4 linked regions of the Drosophila melanogaster genome follow. The protein of the gene in region 1 interacts with the protein of each later gene in a pairwise test. Each region holds a gene or a part of one and is shown on either strand. Other genes may lie near its edges.

Region 1 (5,085 bases):
GGTTAGGGAGGTCATGAGGGTGGTGTGCAAGCAGTAATAAAACAAAAAGGCGGAGAAAGTCGAAAGCAAAAGCAAAGACAAAATAAATAATTATCATCTTGTCGTTTATATAAGTGTGTGCTATGTGTTTCTCCGAATCGGATTTATGTTATATAAAACAGAAGAACAGTAACAATTTAAAGGCAAATTTCAAGGAATGAAAGCGAACAGTAATAAGAAACAAGGAAACCAAAAAGTAAATATATATATTCATGCAAGAAATACAAAATAAAGTAAACATTGGTGTAAATTAAGCAAGAACCTAAGTAAAACCTACTAAAAACAACCAAAAAAAATAAGAAGCTTAATACGTAATTTCCTGAAAACAACAGAAGACATATGCAGAAATCACACACATTTACCGTTACTTTTCACACACATACAGCACCTCTCTCTCTTTAGCTATTGCGTTTTAGATTATTGCTCAGCACGTTTTTGCGTAGACACAAAACTATTTATGCTAACGGTAAGATAGAACCTCCTCTCTCTCTCTCACCCACACACACACACACCTCCCCCACTTACACACACACAAGCACTCGCAAAAACAAGAAGACGAAGAGAAAAACTAAATTTTTTTCTTATAATCGGAATGCCGGATTTCTAACGGGAAAGGAAACAAAAACACAACAGGACTTCTAATAAGTGTTTATACATACAAATATATATATATATACATGTACATGTATACATATGAAACAAAACAAAAAACAAAGCAAAGCATAATTTTTTGTCATAATGCAAAATATTTGTGTGAGAAACCAATTTTTGATGTAACAGAAAAACGCGCGAAAAATTGAATATGTGTAACGGTAACAGAGCAAAAGATAGATAAAAGAAAGTAAAAAATTTATTTCATTCGCTTAGTTTTTCCCAAACGATCGATCCATTTCCTCATTTTCCGTTAGTAACTTTTAAACTCAAATCTTTTAGCTGCCATTTCTAAAGCAAAAAAAAAAAAATGAAACAACAAACCGAGAAACCAACAAATACAAAAACTAGTTTAAAATCTTAGTTTGTAAAGCGTTTATTTGAATTTAACTGTTTAATTCTACTTTACCTATTTCTATTTAACTGGTTTTTTGTGCAAGGAACAAACATTACTTAAGTTTTTGTAAGAGATTAGTGAATTATGTGAGCTGAGTGCGATATAGAGCAGTATTGCAATTGCAACTGCAATCGCAAATGTGGATTTATGGAGGCAATTTCAAGTAACAATACGAGTAAGAAATGAGAAAGCAAACAAAAACCAAATGAGATCTTCAATGTGAAATAAAAGTACTTCTTTGAAAACCCTCGTTTTATTTGGGCGGCAAAGTAATATAAAATGTGATTGAGTAAGTATTTATTCGAGTATTTCAATAACCGCCAAACACTACTATTATTTTGATATAACATTGTGTGACACATTATATAAAAGCTTATTGAATATTTTACGTAAACATTTATATTTCAAGTTATATTGAAAAAGAAAGTTCGATAAGCTAATTTAGTATTTTTTGAAAACAGGGAAAGCTGCAGTATTTTATTTAGGGTCACACTAATAGGCCAAGTGGTGCGTTATTTTTCGCTATAACGCCAAACGGTTGTTATAGTTGTGCAATATAGTAGTTGATAAACTAATCTCGCTACCTTTTTTTCCGATTGTTTAACTTACAACGACGCGCGGCGGTGCGACTGAGACACCAGATATATAGCGTGCGATTCTAGATCCGGACAATCCGCATATAGAAAGCCCCCATTCACATCCAATTTCTGTCAGTCGAACGAGAATAACACAGCGAAAATGTTGCGTACTCTGTCACGCGTTAGCGAATTGCCCATTATTGTTAAGCAACTGCAAAAAGTACGTAATCCCAATCCCGCTTTGCACCCACTAACATTTCTAATTGTTGTCACTAAAAATGCAATTGAACAAATCCATTCGATAATGAAAACACTAAAAGCGTTGCCATAACAACAACAACAACAACATCATCATCAGCGGATGTCGGATACTTAGCAACAACAACAACAACAGCAGCATCGATATCATCAGGAATGGGAGATATTCATCGTCGTTTTTCGGTTTATTCCAGAATGCAGCCCAAGCAGGTGTTTCGAAAACCAACAATTATGCCACGGAGGCCACCGTTCAAGTGAATCGGGTGCGTATTATAGCATTAAGTACTTGTAACTCAGGAAAATTCAAAAGTCGGAAGGGAAAAAATACGGTTACATAATGCGATTTTCGCCAGATAGCAAACGGTTTGCGTGTGTGTGTGTGTGTGTGTAAGTGCAGGGTTGCATTTTGCCGGTCAATCCGCTCATTTTCAAATGACAAGGTCACGCAGTAATTTGTAGTTTTCCGTCTCCCACGCTCTTTATCACCGTCTGCCTTTTGCGTGGCCGACGCGTGACTGTTCACGCACCATATAACATATAGTCTTATCAACGATCCGCCGATTTTCACCCTCTCTCTCTTTCTCTCCGTCTGTCTGTCTGGCTCTCTGTTTACGTCGATTCTCACGCCATAAATTAGCCGCCATAAATCCAAATTTGGTTTTTGGAGCATACTTCCGAAAATCCTCGATATGTGGTTATAGCTCTCTATAGATTAGTATACTTTGATTAGAGAAGCTTGAAGCCTATGGTTATTTGGTTTATCCAATCAAACTGCTATCATTTTATTACTTATCATGCGTTCCAAACGTTTCCGTTACGTTCTTATCAGATGTGTGTGTCAGTTGTTAATGTAAAAGTAGAAAACGTTTTTAAAATTAATGAAGTTTAGGGATCTAAATTCTAAATATGCTTTCCAACTTTGCAGCCCTTCAAGCTGCACCGCCTGGACGAAGGACCCGCCACGGAAGTGAAGCTGACCAAGGATCAGGCCCTCAAGTACTACACACAGATGCAGACGATCCGTCGGTTGGAGACGGCCGCCGGTAATCTGTACAAGGAGAAGATCATTCGCGGCTTCTGTCATCTGTATTCCGGCCAGGAGGCATGCGCCGTTGGCATGAAGGCGGCGATGCGGGATGTGGACAACATCATCTCGGCGTACCGTGTCCACGGATGGACCTACCTGATGGGCGTCTCACCCAGCGGCGTACTGGCTGAGCTCACCGGTGTCCAGGGTGGCTGTGCCCGCGGCAAGGGTGGCTCCATGCACATGTACGCACCGAACTTCTACGGAGGCAATGGCATCGTGGGTGCTCAAGTTCCTTTGGGTGCCGGCGTTGGCTTGGCCTGCAAGTACAAGGGCAATGGCGGCATGTGCCTGGCCCTCTACGGTGATGGTGCCGCCAATCAAGGACAGGTGTTCGAGGCTTACAACATGGCCTACCTGTGGAAACTGCCTGTGATCTTTGTCTGCGAGAACAACAACTACGGTGAGTGCTGTAGAAAGTGGAACAATGCTAAAAGATATTTACTTAAACCAAATGTTGTATAATTATACCCATTAGGAATGGGCACCAGTTCTGAGCGTGCTTCCTGCAACACTGATTACTATACCCGCGGCGACGCTCTGCCCGGAATCTGGGTGGACGGCATGGATGTGCTGGCCGTGCGCAGCGCCACCGAGTTCGCCATCAACTATGTGAACACTCACGGACCTTTGGTGATGGAGACGAACACGTACCGATACTCTGGACACTCCATGTCCGATCCGGGCACATCGTACCGCACACGCGAGGAGATCCAGGAGGTGCGCCAGAAGCGTGATCCCATCACCTCCTTCAAGGAGCTGTGCATCGAGCTGGGTCTGATTACCACCGATGAAGTTAAGGTGGGTTTGGCTTATAGGGTTTTATTTTTGTTATGAGTTATGATTGCTAAAAGAAAAAAACATCTTCCAGGCCATCGATCTGAAGGTACGCAAGGAGGTCGACGAGGCCACCGCCTTCGCCAAGTCCGATGCCGAGCTGGGCGTGAGCCACCTCTGGACGGACGTGTACTCCAACAATCTGGAGCCCAAGCTGCGCGGCACCATCGCCTACGATATTGATCACATCCAGGAGCGCAAGGGCGTCAATCACTAAGTCATCGGGCCAACGAATCTGATTCGGGAACTCACAAGAACCTTAAACGAAACAAGAAAACCGAACAGCAAACACAAATCACTGACAGACAGACAAGAAGACACAATAACTCAGAAACTTGGACACAAGCGAAATCTCTAGATCATAAGCCGAAAGTTGAACGATGAGAACCCCGTAGAACGGAACGGATCCGAAGAGACCCACAAAAAGCTTAGCTAATCGGAGCACTCCAACCACACATCGTAGCGCACCACATAACTCTGGGGTACTGCATTGGATATTATATTGCGAACGTGTTCAATAAGGATAAAGCGAGGTGTAAATTGTTGAAAATATAAAAATCTAGAAAAATTAATCCAAATTAGTTTTCTTAACAAAAGTGAATCAAGTATGTACTTTTGAAATGTGAAAATCTCAGTCTGTTTCACCTATACTTGCACTATAGAATTTTGATAGATTTATAAGATATTAATAAACGGAATAGATTTAATAGATAATTCGATTTGTGGAAGAATTACAGTTCGAATCAAAGTAGTATTTGAAAAGGAGCAGTTGTCAGCTCCATAAGCAATCCCAAAATCGTTATATTTCCTTCTCGTTCTGTTTAGTGACAGTTGCCATCTCTGTCGATTTGCTTATGATTTTACTGTCGATTTCTTTTCGGTTGAGTACAAATCCATTTTTCAACAATTTCCGATCATATTCAAAATTTTAGTGCGTGGCAATTGCCCATTTGGCTACAAGCTCATTTTAGTGCCCCGGTGTTTGGGAATTGGTATTCGGGCAAGGGCCAATGATGAAGTTCAGTTGTGTCCGCGTGGCGATGAGATGCAGTGGAGCCCACTCCATCCTCGAGAGAAATATGCTCTGCAGGATAATAGGGCGCCACAAATGTAGCTGTTTGACCCTGGAGAACGTAAGTGTTTTGATTATCACAAGAAGGTCAATGGATAAGTAAATACCATTGAAAAAAGCTATATCGTAAAAGTTATATTTTTCATTTTGAATTAAATTATGTACT
Region 2 (7,846 bases), 4.1 Mb from region 1:
GTTCCTCACCAGAACTGGAACGGCTACCCGACGGGGCGATGGCAGGGCACTGGGGTGATGCGGATGGGTGGCATGGCCGTGCAGTAGACCAGGATGACCCTCGTAGCCCTTCTCGTTTTGCGCCCGCTTCGTCTTGTAGCGATGGTTTTGAAACCAGATCTTCACCTGGGTCGGCGTCAGGCGGATCAAACTGGCCAGGTGCTCGCGTTCCGGGGCACTCAAGTAACGTTGTTGTCGAAACCGACGTTCCAGCTCATATGTTTGCGCCTTGGTGAACAGGACTCGTCGCTTCCGTTTCTTATTTGGCAGACCGTCGGATCCATTTGCATCCCCGCCGCCACTGCCGTCGGCGTCGTCCACGTCGTCGATATCCTCCTCGATGCCATCTTCGTTGAGGCTATCGTCGTGACCACTGCCTGCTCCGTTGATCCCCTCGGCCTTCAGGCTGTGGTTATTGTTGTTTGTCGTATTATTATTGTTGTTGTGTAGGGCATGGGCCGTCGGAGCGCCTCCGGCACTTCCATTACCAGAGGATCCATGGAGGGTGTGCAGGGCGTCGCCCACGGATAGTGCATCGCTATCGGCCGACCGGCTGTAGCTCTTGTAATCGCCGGAAAGGGCAGGCGATGTCTGGCAGTTGGAACCAATGTAGGTGTACGACACTTCCGAGGTAACTGGGGAGGTGCTATCCGGACTGGCGGGCTGCTGGGTACCTGAAATCAAAGAGGAAATCAAGGTTTTGGTTAATGTGCTAATTCTTCGTAGTAGATATATGGCTAAAACCGGGAGAAAACTCCCTTCTTAATATGCTGCTAATTGAGGAATAAATTGCTTGGGATAGCCATTTATTTATTTGCATTTTTCACAATGGTCCTACAGAATGGAAAGGCAATGGCAGGGTGCGAGCCCTGGGTGGGAATTTGTCAGCAATTGAGAAACCTCTTTAGCCGTAAATTAATGTAGCGACACACCCCTCCACATCGTCCAAGTGATCATGCAGAATTCGGGACAAAAGGGGGAAGTCAGTATCGCAACTACGGCAATTGGATTAGGCGCAACATGAAGCTGTGGTCGGAAACGATCCAAATGTCAAATGCCAGATGTATGCACTCCTTATGGTCCGCAGCGTCAAATCAACCCCTGCCCATCCCCTACGAGCTTCACCCTAACAACGCCAATTAGGCGGAGACAAACAGAGATCGCACACAAATACATACAAAAATACATGCCTAGGTGGGTATTCCCTTGTCGTCTACCTGAAACGATCGCTTCGATCTCTCGCTGAATGACTGCTGATCCTGGGCCTGTACTAAAAACCAGCAACCAGGATACTAATGGGACAACGACACAAAAGCCAGACCTCAAACACATCAATGGTAGCCGGGTCTCTTCCGGTTCGCCCCCTTTCGCAAGAGTTCCGAACTTCCAACAGATAGTGATTTAGTGATTTATCGCCGGGTGTGGCTATTTCTGATATTCTGGGGCGGGATCTGCGGTTGCAGAGGTATTAGAAGTGGGCTTATGCCAGTATTCAGGCAACTTCAAACGAGGCATGTAACTATAGAAAATCAAAAAGAAGCCCTTTAGTTCTTCCTAGCTTTCGAACTTTTGGATATAGTGCTGCGAAGGCAGCATTCCAAAGAATCGGAACGCGTCCTATCTGCATTTCTATTCCTATTGCAATGTATTTCATAAAATGTCTTCTAATGTGTGTATTCACCTGCCCGGGGTGATGTCCCCGTGGGACATTGATAAAACAACAAATGCAAGGGTCGTAGGAGCTCCTAATGCTCGCCTATCAGCTCCCACCGAGCTAGCCGCATTTGCCCTGCCACGGAAGCCATGCGCTCACCATGACAACTCAACAAATTAATAACTTAATATAATCAAAATGACTCTTCCTCGACTCCTTCACAGCTGTGGAAACTCCCAAAAAAAGAGCAGAAAAGAGAAAATAAAAAAACGGCAAGTGGGCAGCAGCTATAATTTGTAGCTAAACAATAAAGGAATAATAACAGAAGTGGGAAGGGATGAGGCGGAAGTGCGTGCCATAAATTTCCAGGATGAGAAATGTTTGGGCCGCAACAACAAGAAGCGATCGAGCGGGCAGCGATTGAATGTCCTGGCCGAAGGACACGAAGGACGTCAACTGCCAGAAAAACAACAGGGCTAATCCTCAAGTGTGAAGCGCATACAAACTATTAGTCATGATTAAAGGGGAAGCCCAACCCCTGCTCCTTGATTCCCAGTTATATACCCATTTCGATCCGCAGTTAACTGCCAACGAAAATAAAACACAACAGGGCCAGAATTAAACAAAGCTTGTCACACCCTGGAAGCACGTGAATCCGTCGAGTCCACAGGGTATGCAAATACAGCTGCCTCATCGCTCGACTGCTTCAACTCTCTGGCTCTCGGGAGCAGTGAGTGGTTAGTTACGGAACAGTATCATTAGTCGGCCAGTTAATCGGGGGTTAAATGCAGTCGAAAATTGTAAATTTCTTAAAGGGAGCTTCCTGCGGACTTCATTGATGAGTCTATTTTGAAACCAAGTTAATTCGTTGCTCTTTTGCCTACCCACGATTCAAAAGGATATTTGTTTGGGATCCAAAGACTTGCTTACAACCTGCCATTTAAGTGTTGCTTCTTCAAAAAGCCAACTCTAACTTGGTTATTGATATGGCCAGGAGCTATCTCCTGGAAATGGAGCAAATGAAAATGGATACATGCGTATCCATTTATGAGTTGAAACATTCGCTCACCGTATAGCTCGTTCTCCTTGATCCACGCACTCCTGCCCGAGTGCTGCAGCATGGTTTGGGCCATGTGGTGGTACGAGGACATCTCGTCGCCAAAGCTCCCCGGGAAGTTCTTGGGCAGGTTGGGCAGATATTGGCCGGCGGCCACAGCAGCCGCAGCCGCTGCATTGTGGCTGGCCAGCAGATGGGCGGCGGCTGCATTGGCATGGGCGTGGCTTTGGGCTTCGCCGCTCTGATGGTGCGCCAAAGGGAGTGGGGCCACCGCCTGCTGATGGTGCTGCTGCGGGAGGAGGAGGTGAGGGTGGTGGTGCTGCTGGTGGTGCGGGTGCTGTTGCTGCGGATGGCTAGGAGGGGCGTGATGCTCGGTGGTGCTGTGGTGATCCGCTTCTCCCGCTCCTCCCCCAGTCCCGCTGCCATTGTGGTGCTCGTCCGCGGAAACGCCCGCTGGCGTGGGCGACAGCGCCGAAGGCGAGGTGTGAGATCCCTGGCCGCGATGTCCACTGGTGGACTCACTGGCCGAGTGGTGACTCAAATCGCTGCCATGGTGGGCGGCAGCAGCGGCGGCAGCTGCTGCATTCTTCAGCTCAGAGCCCTCCAAATTCAAGATGTCCGATATATGGAAGCCAGAGCGTTGGGACGACGGCACCTTTGCATCGAATAAGCTGCAAGGAGATCAATATGTTAATTCTAACTGAACTTCAACACTAAAAATTTGAGTTAAATGTTTATTTCTCATTTCAATTGAGCACTCGCCTACAGTTTTAAAGAAAAAAAGGCAAAAAGCATACCAAAGATGAGTTGTAATAGTTTTTCTTGAGATTCTGTGTAGTTTCTTAATTGTCCCGGCAAATTGTCATATAATCGAGTGATTAATGACTCCCCGAGTATAAAGATGGCTCCTTAGAGGACGTGGAACGATTTTTCCCTGTTTCATGCTTATTGCAGCGACATCCTGTGTCAATCGTGTGAATGGCCGGAAGGTTTAACAAAAGGAGGTCCCTGTTGGTCGGGATATGCAAAGGAAACTACCTGCACTACCTGTAGCGCTCTGACTTTCACAGATTTTTGCACTTGCCGTTGTTAAGAAGATAAGGAGGTGGGGGGTGTGCATCCTGCAGGCATGCTTCGGAACCGAAAACGCGCACATTTCCCCCGGAATTAACTTTGAATAAGTGCACCCAAATCGCTGGATTATTGACACCTAGTCCCGGTCAGACCCCGAGTTTTGATTTGCCTAATACCATCAACAATTAAACGCAAATCCGCCTCGTAAGGATCGCAGCTACCTGGTCGGGTCAGTGCAGGTCAGCACAGGTCAGCAGGGACTCTTTACGGGTCGAAACAGGTCGTGCCACATGTTGGCGCAAGTTTGCTTGCTTCCGGTTTTCCCATTTCGAGTTTTCCCGAAGACCCCGACTCGCGAATTTCCCACGCTATGGACAGGCTACACGGGCATTCCCCGTCCTCCTGAGCGGAAATCCCATTGCCAGACAGTGTGACGCCAGTATCTCGAAGGCATCTGAGTCCCATGTCTGTCGTACACATGTCATTCCCGATTGGGGTTTCCCTGGCTCTCACCTACGGGAATTTCTAAGCCAGGGTCGAACAACAAGCCAGAATTTCCCAACCGCCATTCGCCAGGACCTTGAGTACTTGCCAGATCAAAGAGGCGGGGAATTATACCCTGTGTCCTGTACTTGCGCGCTGTGCCCGCTTGGTTAATTTAAAGAGCTACCAGGATTAGCCGGACAAGTCCATCAGCTATATGGGATCTAAACACTAATATGGAGGCAGAGGCTCGCAGGGTGTGATTTTAAGTCGGAGCTTAGGCGAAGGCAATTGCAAAGTATGGCTGGTCTTGCGTATTCTGCAGATTCTGCTTTCAACGCCCAATCTTCCAAATTATTAGATTAGGAGAATTAATTAATGGTCTTGCGTATTCTGCAGATTCTGCTTTCAACGCCCAATCTTCCAAATTATTAGATTAGGAGAATTAATAGAAAGACATAGAAAATTAATCGGGAACCCAAAACCTTGAAAACCATATCTGTTTTTTACAAAGTGGTCAGCCATGAAAGGCAAACGTATTGTCGGTGGTCAGTAATTTTGTTTCAATCTGAGGCATGTCCTTATTATCCATATCTTGGCCAGATCCATGCCATCAAAGTGTTACCAATGCTTAAGCGTTTATAAATAGCCCACAAAACAGAGGTCATAATTAGAAGAACTAGAATGGACTTGTGTCAACGTATCACCAAAATATGCTTTTCGTAACCAAGACATATGAATCATAGGTTTGTGTTCACCACTCCAGAGGTATCAATGTTTTAATTATTCCATTGGAATCCTTGTGCTTACCCAGGCAAAGCGTTTCGCAGGGCCGCCGGATAAAAGGCGGCTGGTAGGAGGGCGTGGTTCCACGGCGGCAGCAGGATGGGCGACCAGGGCAGAAACGGGGCCGCTGCTGCGGCGGCCACAGCCGCCGACGATGGAAGCATAAGACTACTCATGCTGTGGAGCCCCGGAAATCCGCTGAAGGCGGCTGCACCCGTCGGAATGCGGAGCTGTTCGGGCGCCAATCCGGAACTGGAACTTGTGTTCGTGGGCACGGTGGTGCTGGCGGTGCTGAAGACTGCGGCGAATCTCTCGTGATCTCTGTCTCGCTCGTGCCGTTCCTGCCGCTCCTTGCGATCCTCCCGGTCCTCTCGATCCTCACGCTCCCTCTTCCGCTCCAGCGAGGGCGTTGAGGTGCGCAGCGGGCGCTTCGGCGTGGCTGGGGAGGACGGACTCACCGTGATAGCGCTTTGGGGCGATGCGGGCAAGCTGCCAGCGCTGCCCAGACCGCTGCTGTTGTCCCGCTCGCGATCTCGATCCCGCTTTGAGGGGGTCCTCTCCAAGGACGCCGACGTGGTCATATCGCTTTGCGATATCGGGGAACCACTGTTTGATTTACTACGCTGCGACGCGGGTGGCGGCGTGGGCGGACTTTTGCGTTTCTCCGCCACTTTGGAGCTTTTACGGTGTTCGGAGCACGGAAAAAAAATATGTTTATGTGTAGTTACTGGGTAGCACTGCGATGAATTAAGCGGGTATCCTGGTAGGGCAACTTAAATTCCAGACATAGTTCGATTTAGGCTTAAGTTTAAGTTTATCACCGGGAAAGTTCGATAGTTCAAGGGTCGCGAGTCGTTTCTCGATTTCTCAGTTGCACGGGTCCGCGGAGCAGCGCACTCTACACATTCCAAACTGAAGTGTCATCAACAACTAACGAGGCATCAAGAACTCAACACGAGTCCAAGTCGCTTCAGAACAGCCAATAACCAAAACCCAACAACCAACGGCAGAAAAGTACCAGGTCGTATGCTCGGGGTGTCTTTGGGTATCACTATGTATGTGGTGCATATCTGTATCTGCATCCCTCTGCCATTGGGTACATAACGCAGATACTCGGATAGTCGCACACACACACACACATACACAAACACACACACGCACACAGCCAGACTGGAGAGACTCTCGGCTTTGTTGGGCGCGCTAAGTGGCTTCTTATGTCCTTTTCAACAAGGATACGGCAACAATGTGAGTGGCCTATTCAACCACCGAGAGAACCAACCACCATTCGTCGCCAGAGCGAGACGTACGATGTGAACCGAGTCCTTATGCCGCACGTCATCCCGCTCTAACTCTTTCCTGTTGCTTTCTCTGCCGCTCTCAAGAGTGCCACTTGAGTGAGAGTGTGTGTGTGCTGCAGCCTCTGTGTATGTTTGCTTGTGTGTGCGCGAGAGTGAGTGTGGATGCGAGGCCATTGTAGCGCCTCACGAACCTCCTCAGGCACGTCGGATTGACGTTCCCAGATAGGGATTCTGGGATTGGGCCGTTCTCTTCCAGCAGTGCTCTGCACTTGATGTTGTCAGCATTCCCCGCGTCATTTAATTGTATTTATCATTATCAGCTCTCTGCAACTCTGGACTTCCGGAGCGGGAACATCAGCCCCGACTTGTGGCGCCTATGCGGTGGGTCCAAGGAGAGGACAGGACAGGGCAAGACATGCGATTGTGACCGGCATTTAGCACGATAATATCAGATGGTGATATCAGCCATTATCCTATTGAGGAACGAGGGCGATAAGAAAAATTTTCTGGAATTACGCTCTCGCCTTTTCTATATGTAGTTGGCTATTTAAGAATCAGATCAATTCATCATTTAAAATCCCAGTCGGGTTGTAATACTTTGAGATTTTGAGTACCAACCATGATTAGATCTGGGGAGGATTGATCACATATTTGTGATTTTATATTAGTCAGCAACGAAATCTTATTTTGAACCACGAACTATTATTTTAATACTTAAAAGGCGCACTGCGAAAACCCTTTTAAAGGCATTCTCACATTACCATACCGGTGAAAGAACGTTATTTTTGCGAAGGCATTATTTTCTTCTGCCGTGTTAGTGGTATGCTATTATACTTGGACATTTAGTTTACTTCACGGTACGTTCTTTGGGAATTGCAATAAATTTCTTGCGTGCAACGGAACTGTTATAGACCACTTTGGCACTGACATAGGGGCCTTATGTACAAGGAGTGTCGCTGTTCGTGCAATTTGAATTTCGATTTCATACTCGTAAGCCAACTCGTGATTAGTGCAGATCCTTCAAACGCCAATACATGGCGCCGTTCCTTGAGAGGTGGCTTCGGGACACACCCCGGACACTCACAGATAGGGAGAGTGCGAGCGAGGAGGTCGAAAGTAAAGTATGGGAATATACATAATCAGCACGAGCAGTAAACGACAGGACAGACTGAACTGGGGGTATCCGCCCGAGGCAATTGAAAACATGGCAAGAGTCCGTTGGGGCTGGCCCCATTTACATATGGGCTGGGGGCTATATACATATATCAGAATATGCATATACATATATATATATATATATATATATATATATATATATATAAATATATGTTGTGTATATGAAGGAAGCTCCATGATCCCTATCCACGAGCATCCGCCCTCTAAAAGTGGGCACCCCACTGTCGCTCATGACTTCGCACCATTATTCTCCCCATGGGGGAATGGAGGTGGTAAGTG
Region 3 (3,066 bases), on another chromosome or scaffold:
CTTTGAACCCACTAGCGTTCAGGACCAAGTATCTCTGCTTGATCCGGATGACTTGACCCTCGATGACCACCCCTGCGAAATGGTCATCATGGTGGGTCTGCCAGGATCCGGAAAGAGCCACTTTTGTTCCAGCTTTTTTCAACCGCGGGGCTACAAAATCGTCAATGCAGATACATTGGGTAGCACTCAAAACTGCCTGACTGCCTGTAAACGGTTCCTGGACTCGGGCCAATCATGTGTGGTGGATAACACCAATGTGGATGCAGCTTCTCGAAAAAAATTCTTGCAGTTGGCCAGCGAAAAGATGATTCCATGCCGCTGCCTTGTGATGAATGTGCCCGTCGCCCAAGTGAAGCACAATATAGCTTTCCGAGAGCTATCAGACTCCGCGCGCACCAAGATCAAGGACATGGTATTTAACATGATGAAGAAAAAGTACCAGGAACCCGCCCTAGACGAAGGATTTATATCCATACACAAGGTGAACTTTAAGCCCAATTTTGCGGACGAAAAGCAGGAAAAGCTATACAAAATGTACTTGGTCGAGAAATAAGGAAGTAAAATAAATTGTATTTAATCCAAAGTGAATATACGCTTAGCTATATCGGCGATCAACCAGTCCATGGAGCTAAGCAGTTTCTCGCCAGTCACTGCACTAACTCCGGCCACCAGCCAATGATGTGTGGTGATATCCTCTAGGTGTAGTATCTTTAAATATAAAGTATATTAAATGTGTTGTTTCAATAAAAAATCAATGAGAGTGAACCTCTTTAATTTCGTTGGATGAGAGGGCTCCCGGTAGATCCTGTTTGTTGCAGAGAACTAGGAGTGTGGCTCCAGCTAATCGCTCTTCCTGGAGCAGAACTTGCAGCTCCTGGCCGCAGGACTCTAGGCGCATCCTGTCAGCGCTATCCACCACCCAGACCAGACCATCAGTGGACTCGAAGTAGTTTCTCCAGTAGGATCGCAGAGACTTCTGGCCACCGACATCCCACATATTCAGGGTGTAGCCGTTGTGCTCCAAGGTTTTAATATTGAATCCCAGTGTGGGTGAGATGGTGTCTATGGGTTCGCCATTAAAGCGCTTCAGGATTGTCGTCTTGCCGGCATTATCCAGACCTCTATAAGAAAGTCGATACATGAATCACTATTTATTTTTTTATAATTCCATGGAACTCACAGCAGTAATATGCGCATTTCCCTTTCCTTCTGTCGCATCTTTTTTAATACTGTGAGGAAGCCCATGACAACGTCTGTATTTTAGTAACGCTATGGAATTATAAACAAATGTTTTTATTGGCAGCTGCTTAAATTGTTTATTAAACTAAATAGGAATTTCCAGGTGAATGCCAAACTGCTGGAAATATCGACATCGATGTATCGATAATACATCGATATATCTCCAGTTGTCAGCTGTCATATTTCAGACCGATATTTTTCGCCCAGGAAAACTGCTCACTTTTTGCTAAATCTTAAAAATAAACCCCAGCAAAATGATGAACCTGTCGAGAGTAAGTAATTTACATTACTCTACACACCTTTCTGGAGGAACAGCATGAGTTCCGAAACACTGGAGATCCCATTACCTACATCCAATTACGTAAGTTCCCTGGAGCCTCAGAACTAACCGCACATTTTGTACTCCTCGGCAGGCTGTTGTCCGTAGCTTCGCTACCACCGCTGGCCGCCGGTCCGCCGCCGTGCCCAAGGACCAGATCGAGAAGGGATACTTCGAGATCCGCAAGGTGCAGGAGCACTTTCAGAAGAAGGACGGCAAGCCCGTCTTCCTCAAGGGATCCGTCGTGGACAACGTGCTCTACCGCGTCACCGTCGCTCTCGCCCTCGTCGGCATCGGTGGCATGGGCAAGCTTTTCTACGAGCTGAGTGTTCCCAAGAAGGAGTGAAGTCGCAGTACCGAACCCTAAGCTAAGCCATTAAACCCCGCGCAAGATCCGTGATTCAGCGTAGTCGCCTTATATTTCAATGTTTTGATTGTGTAAGTTCCATTTTTTAGAATTTTGTGTTTATGCTAGGTTGCTAAGTTCTTGACATAAAATATGACATTATCCAAGGACAACATTCCGTAAACTATTCCCTGTATTTGTCTAATAAATTTATAGACTATGTTTAAACCTTAAGTTATAATATTTGTTTGCAAACTAGCATCTTAAAGTCTCCGTCTTATACAATAATAGTTTAATTAGGAATTTTATTTGTACAATAATAGATATGTGTAACATGAGAACCACTTGCCTAAGAGATCTGCCATTCAGATACAACATCTATCCCAAAAGTTTGTAACTAATCGCAATCCTTAATCCCTTTATCTTGCAGAGCCTTGCCCTGGATACCTGGACAACATGAAACACCCCAACCTACAACCTGGCTTATTGTTTTGTGTTAGAATAGCTAAGATTTGATGTGTAAACTGAACATTCGCAAGAGCATTTAAAGCGTGGAAATATAAGAGATCTGGCTGTAAAGTAACGAGACTGCTTATTTGTTTTAGGCACGGTCGCTGGCAACGAGATATTTGCCCAAAAGTATTTCCCCTTAATTGCATTGACATTAAGTAAACAAACAGCGGCGACATGGAGCAGAGATCTGGGATGCGGTCGAGACTGGGGAATCGGCTAAGGAAACGGCCTGTTTTATAAATCAAAGGGCGGCAACTCGGCGCGTTGCCATTGGCATGGAAATGCATTTTAAATCGAGCGAATCATGTTGCGCTTTAACACAAGCACAGGCCCATGCACGCCGCCCGTTTATTAATACCCGAGTGCGGCGGAATATGCAATTCATGACGTTTTTCATTAGTTATTCTCCATAAACACTTAAATAAAACTAAAGCATTAAAAATTATGAAAACATCCGCCGCTTTATGCATTTTCCCTGGCATTTTCCACACACTCACAACGGGCAGTGCGTCACGAAACTGTTGTGGAATTTAAGAAATATGTTAGTTATTAAACGAGAAATAATATTTAACAGATAGTTTCCGCAAACAGTTGCATGTTCTCAAGTCTAAGAGTATATTCCCTTATAGAAAACTCGTATAGTGAACTT
Region 4 (4,406 bases), on another chromosome or scaffold:
TAGGGGGGCAAAGGCTAAATTGAGGCTAAGCTTTAGCTGCCTCATTACACTCAGAAATATGCACTAACAGCTAGCGTATGGCCAGAATTGAAACATGACACACACATTTTATATGCCCGTTAATTACTGTAATTCAAGATCAAAATTATTGGCCATTTAAAATTGTTGAACCTGATAATTTGCTATGACGACCACCAAATTATTTATTTTAGTGCAGTTCATCGATAGATCGCTCCCATCAGCTCAATCTGCACTTGGCTGCCCCAGATCCCAGATCCAGGAATTTCGTCTGCCTGGTACTTACGCAAATGCTCAGATTGAACTGCCAGTCTATCGTCTGCAGTCTATCCATTTCTCATTAAAACTTTCTTTGCTGTCTGCTCCACAATTACCCGAACGACTTCATCTGCTCGATCCACGGATCCATCCGCGGGTAATGACAGAGCCGGCAAAAAATCTGCCAAAACCAATAGGAAATCATCAGCCAACGGTCAGTGGGTTAATTTTGGCCCACCAAAAATACTGAAATGAATTGGAGAATCCCCGAAGATGGCCTGCAATTAATCATAGATTGAGGCTTATTCGCTATCCAGCGAAAGTAATTTGTAGCCGACAAGAGACCCTGCAGATCGCTTGTAGTTACGATTATCGCACAGCCCACCAGGTGGTCTTCCCACCATGGACACTTTCACATGTCGCAGAGTTGGCGCAGATGGGGAGAAAGGTTGCGAGAGGAAGAAGAGTCGTCGAACATGCAAATGCCTCATCAATCAGCTCCTCCGCCCTTCCCCTTCAAATCGGTGACGTGCTTTTGACACAAAACCCGGCTACTGTGCTACCGCTTGCACATGGCAATCAACGCGTCAAGCGGCCAGGAAACGGATCCCGATTCCGACCCCAGTTCCAATTCCCGTCTGCGGCACACAGAAAAAAGTTATACCTACTGAACTAAATGTGACATTATTTTATACGTATAGAATACGAGAGATAGCTCATATAAATCGCATTGAATTTATATGCAAACCTATTTCTAAACATTCATACCTAAGTGCAATTCATCGTGCGAAAGTAATGCCTTCTTGCGCGCTGTGCACCCAACATTTTCATCCCATCTCCATTTCCATCTCCGCCTCAAACTCCCCATTTCCATTTCCATTTGCCGTTTGGCTTGCAGCAAAATGTGTGAATTTCTTTAGTTTGCAGTAGGCAGCACACAATTTTTGACAGCTGCCTTCGAAATGGGAACGGTCAGCCGAGGAAAATGCATCCATCCTCCGGTGCAGAACAGTCGCACCGCAGTTCTGGGAAATCTGCACACGCTGGTCTTGTTTGTGGGTCAGCCTCAGCCGATGGAGGCGAATAGAACTGCAAATGGGCAGACTCCACCCAGAATGTCGGGGCTTATTAGCTGCACGCTAATTTATTCCGGCAAACAGAAGGCACGGCTTCTGTTGTCGAAGATTTCAGAGCCGCAGATCGCAGACGGGCAGGCGCCAGACAAATGAATGTTGTGAAATCTGGCGATTGCCTGGAAACTTGTCCGCAAAGAGAAAAAAGAAAAAAGAGAAAAGTGCTCAAGGAAAAGCAATATAAATAAAGAAGAATGGCTTGCACATGTTACATAAAACGAGAAGCTTAAAGATAATGGAAACAAAATTTGGATTTGAATATGGGAGTAGGCCTTGAACGAGTCCGTCTAGTCCGTCAGTATCGAGTCAACAACCTACATATTAGTTGCACTCACTTCGTGTCTGAGATCAAACGAAAAAATATTAGAACCAAAAGTTTTGAAAGTTTTTTTTTTATTATAGTTTCAAACTTAAGTGCAAAATGTTTCGGTCGTGTGTGCCCAAGGCGATTACCTCTAGTCGCTGTTTCGCGCGGATGTACTCGAAGGACGTGCGCTTTGGCTCCGGAGTACGGGCAATGATGATCCGGGGCGTTGATATTCTGGCTGATGCCGTTGCTGTGACCATGGGGCCCAAGGGTCGCAGTGTGATCGTGGAGCGACCATGGACCTCGCCGAAGATCACCAAGGACGGCTTCACGGTCGCGCGCTCGATTGCCCTAAAGGACCAGCACATGAATCTGGGCGCCAAGTTGGTCCAGGATGTGGCCGATAATACGAATGAGTCGGCGGGTGACGGCACGACCACAGCAACAGTTTTGGCTCGAGCGATTGCCAAGGAAGGATTCAATCAGATTACCATGGGGGCTAATCCCGTGGAGATTCGTCGAGGTGTCATGTTAGCTGTTGACGTCGTAAAGGACAAGCTGAAGGAAATGTCCAAGGCAGTGGAAACGCGTGAGGAGATCCAACAAGTAGCCACCCTCTCCGCGAACGGGGATACTGAAATTGGGCGGCTCATTGGTGAGGCCACCGACAAAGTGGGTCCAAGAGGAACTATTACTGTAAAGGATGGCAAGCGCCTGAAGGACGAGCTAAATATTATCCAGGGCCTGCGCTTCGACAACGGCTATGTGTCGCCCTTTTTCGTAAACAGCTCCAAGGGGTCCAAGGTGGAGTTTGCCAACGCCCTTGTAATGATATCCCTGAAGAAGATCACTGGACTCTCGCAAATAGTTAAAGGTCTGGAGCAATCCCTGAGGCAGCGTCGTCCCCTGATCATCATAGCCGAGGACATCAGCGGGGAAGCCCTCAATGCTTTGGTCCTGAACAAGCTCAGGTTGGGCCTCCAGGTGTGCGCCGTCAAATCGCCCAGCTATGGACACCACCGCAAGGAGCTTATAGGCGATATATCCGCTGCCACGGGAGCAACTATTTTCGGCGATGACATCAACTATTCCAAAATGGAGGAGGCTAAGCTGGAGGATCTGGGTCAGGTTGGCGAGGCTGTGATTAGCAAGGACAGCACCATGCTCCTGCAGGGCAAACCCAAGACAGGACTTTTGGAAATGCGCATCCAGCAAATTCAAGATGAACTGGCGGAAAAGCAAATCAAGCCAGAGCAGCGGGATCGTCTGCGCCAACGCCTCTCCGCCCTCACGAAGGGCGTGGCAGTGCTGCACATTGGTGGAGGCAGTGAAGTTGAGGTGAATGAGAAAAAGGACCGTGTGGTGGACGCCTTGAATGCCACTCGAGCGGCCATCGAAGAGGGAATTGTCCCAGGTGGCGGTACGGCCTTTTTGCGCTGCATTCCCTACCTCCAGGAACTCAAAACGGAGAGTGCAGATCTCCAGAAGGGCGTCGATATCGTCTGCAATGCCCTGAGGATGCCTTGCCAGACCATAGCTCAAAACGCCGGAGTTGATGGCCCAATGGTGGTGGCCAAGGTGTTGAATGGCTCGGAAGACTACGGCTACGATGCCATGGGCGATGAGTACTGTCGGCTGGTCGAGAAGGGCATTATTGATCCCACAAAGGTGCTGCGGACCGCCATCACGGATGCAGCTGGAGTGGCCTCTCTTCTGAGCACCACCGAGGTGGTTATCACCGACTCCCGGAACGATGATCTTTTGTCCAAGTTGTCAGGAGCTGGCGGCGGAATGGATGATGGACTGGACATGAACATGGGTGGCTTAGAGGAGCTGGCAGCCTTAAGTGGATTGGGTGGCATGGGTGGTATGGGAGGCATGGGTGGTATGGGAGGTATGGGAGGAATGGGAGGTGGATTCGGCGGAATGGGCGCTGGTGGCGGAATGAGCGCTTCTGCCAGCAATGACGGTCCCACTGCCGAGGAGATGAATGAAATGGTCAAGGCTATTCCCGGCATGGAGCAAGTAGAGGTGCGTGACATTGACAGTGGGATGATGTAGAACCCGCTTCCGTTATCCGCTCCAGCTCAAATCGTTTCTATAGTTCAAATATCTGTTGAGTGTCTAAATTTTATGTGTTCATCTAAAATATAAATTGACAATCGAAAACGAATTGTATAAAACAGTCGGGAACCCTTCCAAATGACTTGAGAAAGTGAATTATTGGCCTTTTCCCTACACCAGCAGTTTTCTGGCCAAATATCTTTCAACCGGTTCATTATGCTGGTCTGCAAAAAGCTACACTTCCTTCACACTTTCGGTTTTTAATTGCAGCCGAAAATTTGGAACGGCGACCGGCAGAGCGAATCCAGCTGCAATGCGATGATCATTTGCATAAAACAAACAGCAATTTCTCACACATGTGAGCCGACCCTCGGTTTTTTCCCCCGTACTTTGCATGGTTTGTGTTTGCAGATTTCATTTGTGGCCCGCAGCTAAAAAAGCGATTCGTTACATGAGAGTGAGTGCGCAAGAAGGGGGGCCTGAGGCTGGGAGCCTCCACAAGAGCGTCACATCAAACATGCATCAATAAATAAGTAATTCCAATTTGCAAATTTTTCATCGAGGCCCGCAAACGAACCGAAAATGGTGGACGGACCCATCGAGCATCGAGCGTGGGCCAGGGAAAA

The links.
Region 2: the proteins of Pdha (region 1) and vnd interact in a two-hybrid assay, tested with the Drosophila melanogaster proteins (one large-scale study listed by BioGRID).
Region 3: the proteins of Pdha (region 1) and Arl2 interact in a two-hybrid assay, tested with the Drosophila melanogaster proteins (one large-scale study listed by BioGRID).
Region 4: the proteins of Pdha (region 1) and Hsp60B interact in a two-hybrid assay, tested with the Drosophila melanogaster proteins (one large-scale study listed by BioGRID).

Annotation. Positions count from the first base shown.
Region 1 is NC_004354.4:4,700,707-4,705,791, forward strand, and holds Pdha (pyruvate dehydrogenase E1 alpha subunit), read left to right. Parts: upstream 1-1,618; 5' UTR 1,619-1,825; coding exon 1,826-1,885; exon of another isoform or gene 1,886-1,985; coding exon 1,986-2,186; intron 2,187-2,848; coding exon 2,849-3,413; intron 3,414-3,488; coding exon 3,489-3,811; intron 3,812-3,881; coding exon 3,882-4,064; 3' UTR 4,065-4,559; downstream 4,560-5,085. Other genes in the region: CG7024 (uncharacterized protein), read left to right, coding at 4,858-4,980.
Region 2 is NC_004354.4:589,223-597,068, reverse strand, and holds the start of vnd (ventral nervous system defective), read right to left. Parts: upstream 6,028-7,846; 5' UTR 5,675-6,027; coding exon 5,118-5,674; intron 3,422-5,117; coding exon 2,763-3,421; intron 714-2,762; coding exon 1-713. UniProt on the Drosophila melanogaster protein: Probable transcriptional regulator involved in the regulation of the proneural AS-C genes and the neurogenic genes of the enhancer of split complex. Could specifically activate proneural genes in the ventral-most neuroectoderm.
Region 3 is NT_033777.3:8,339,358-8,342,423, reverse strand, and holds Arl2 (ADP ribosylation factor-like 2), read right to left. Parts: upstream 1,325-3,066; 5' UTR 1,246-1,324; coding exon 1,181-1,245; intron 1,122-1,180; coding exon 767-1,121; intron 764-766; exon of another isoform or gene 709-763; coding exon 574-708; 3' UTR 554-573; downstream 1-553. Other genes in the region: PNKP (polynucleotide kinase 3'-phosphatase), read left to right, coding at 1-553; COX7A (cytochrome c oxidase subunit 7A), read left to right, coding at 1,556-1,600, 1,653-1,904. UniProt on the Drosophila melanogaster protein: GTP-binding protein involved in protein trafficking; may modulate vesicle budding and uncoating within the Golgi apparatus.
Region 4 is NT_033779.5:726,678-731,083, forward strand, and holds Hsp60B (heat shock protein 60B), read left to right. Parts: upstream 1-1,684; 5' UTR 1,685-1,830; coding exon 1,831-3,777; 3' UTR 3,778-3,887; downstream 3,888-4,406. UniProt on the Drosophila melanogaster protein: Prevents misfolding and promotes the refolding and proper assembly of unfolded polypeptides generated under stress conditions.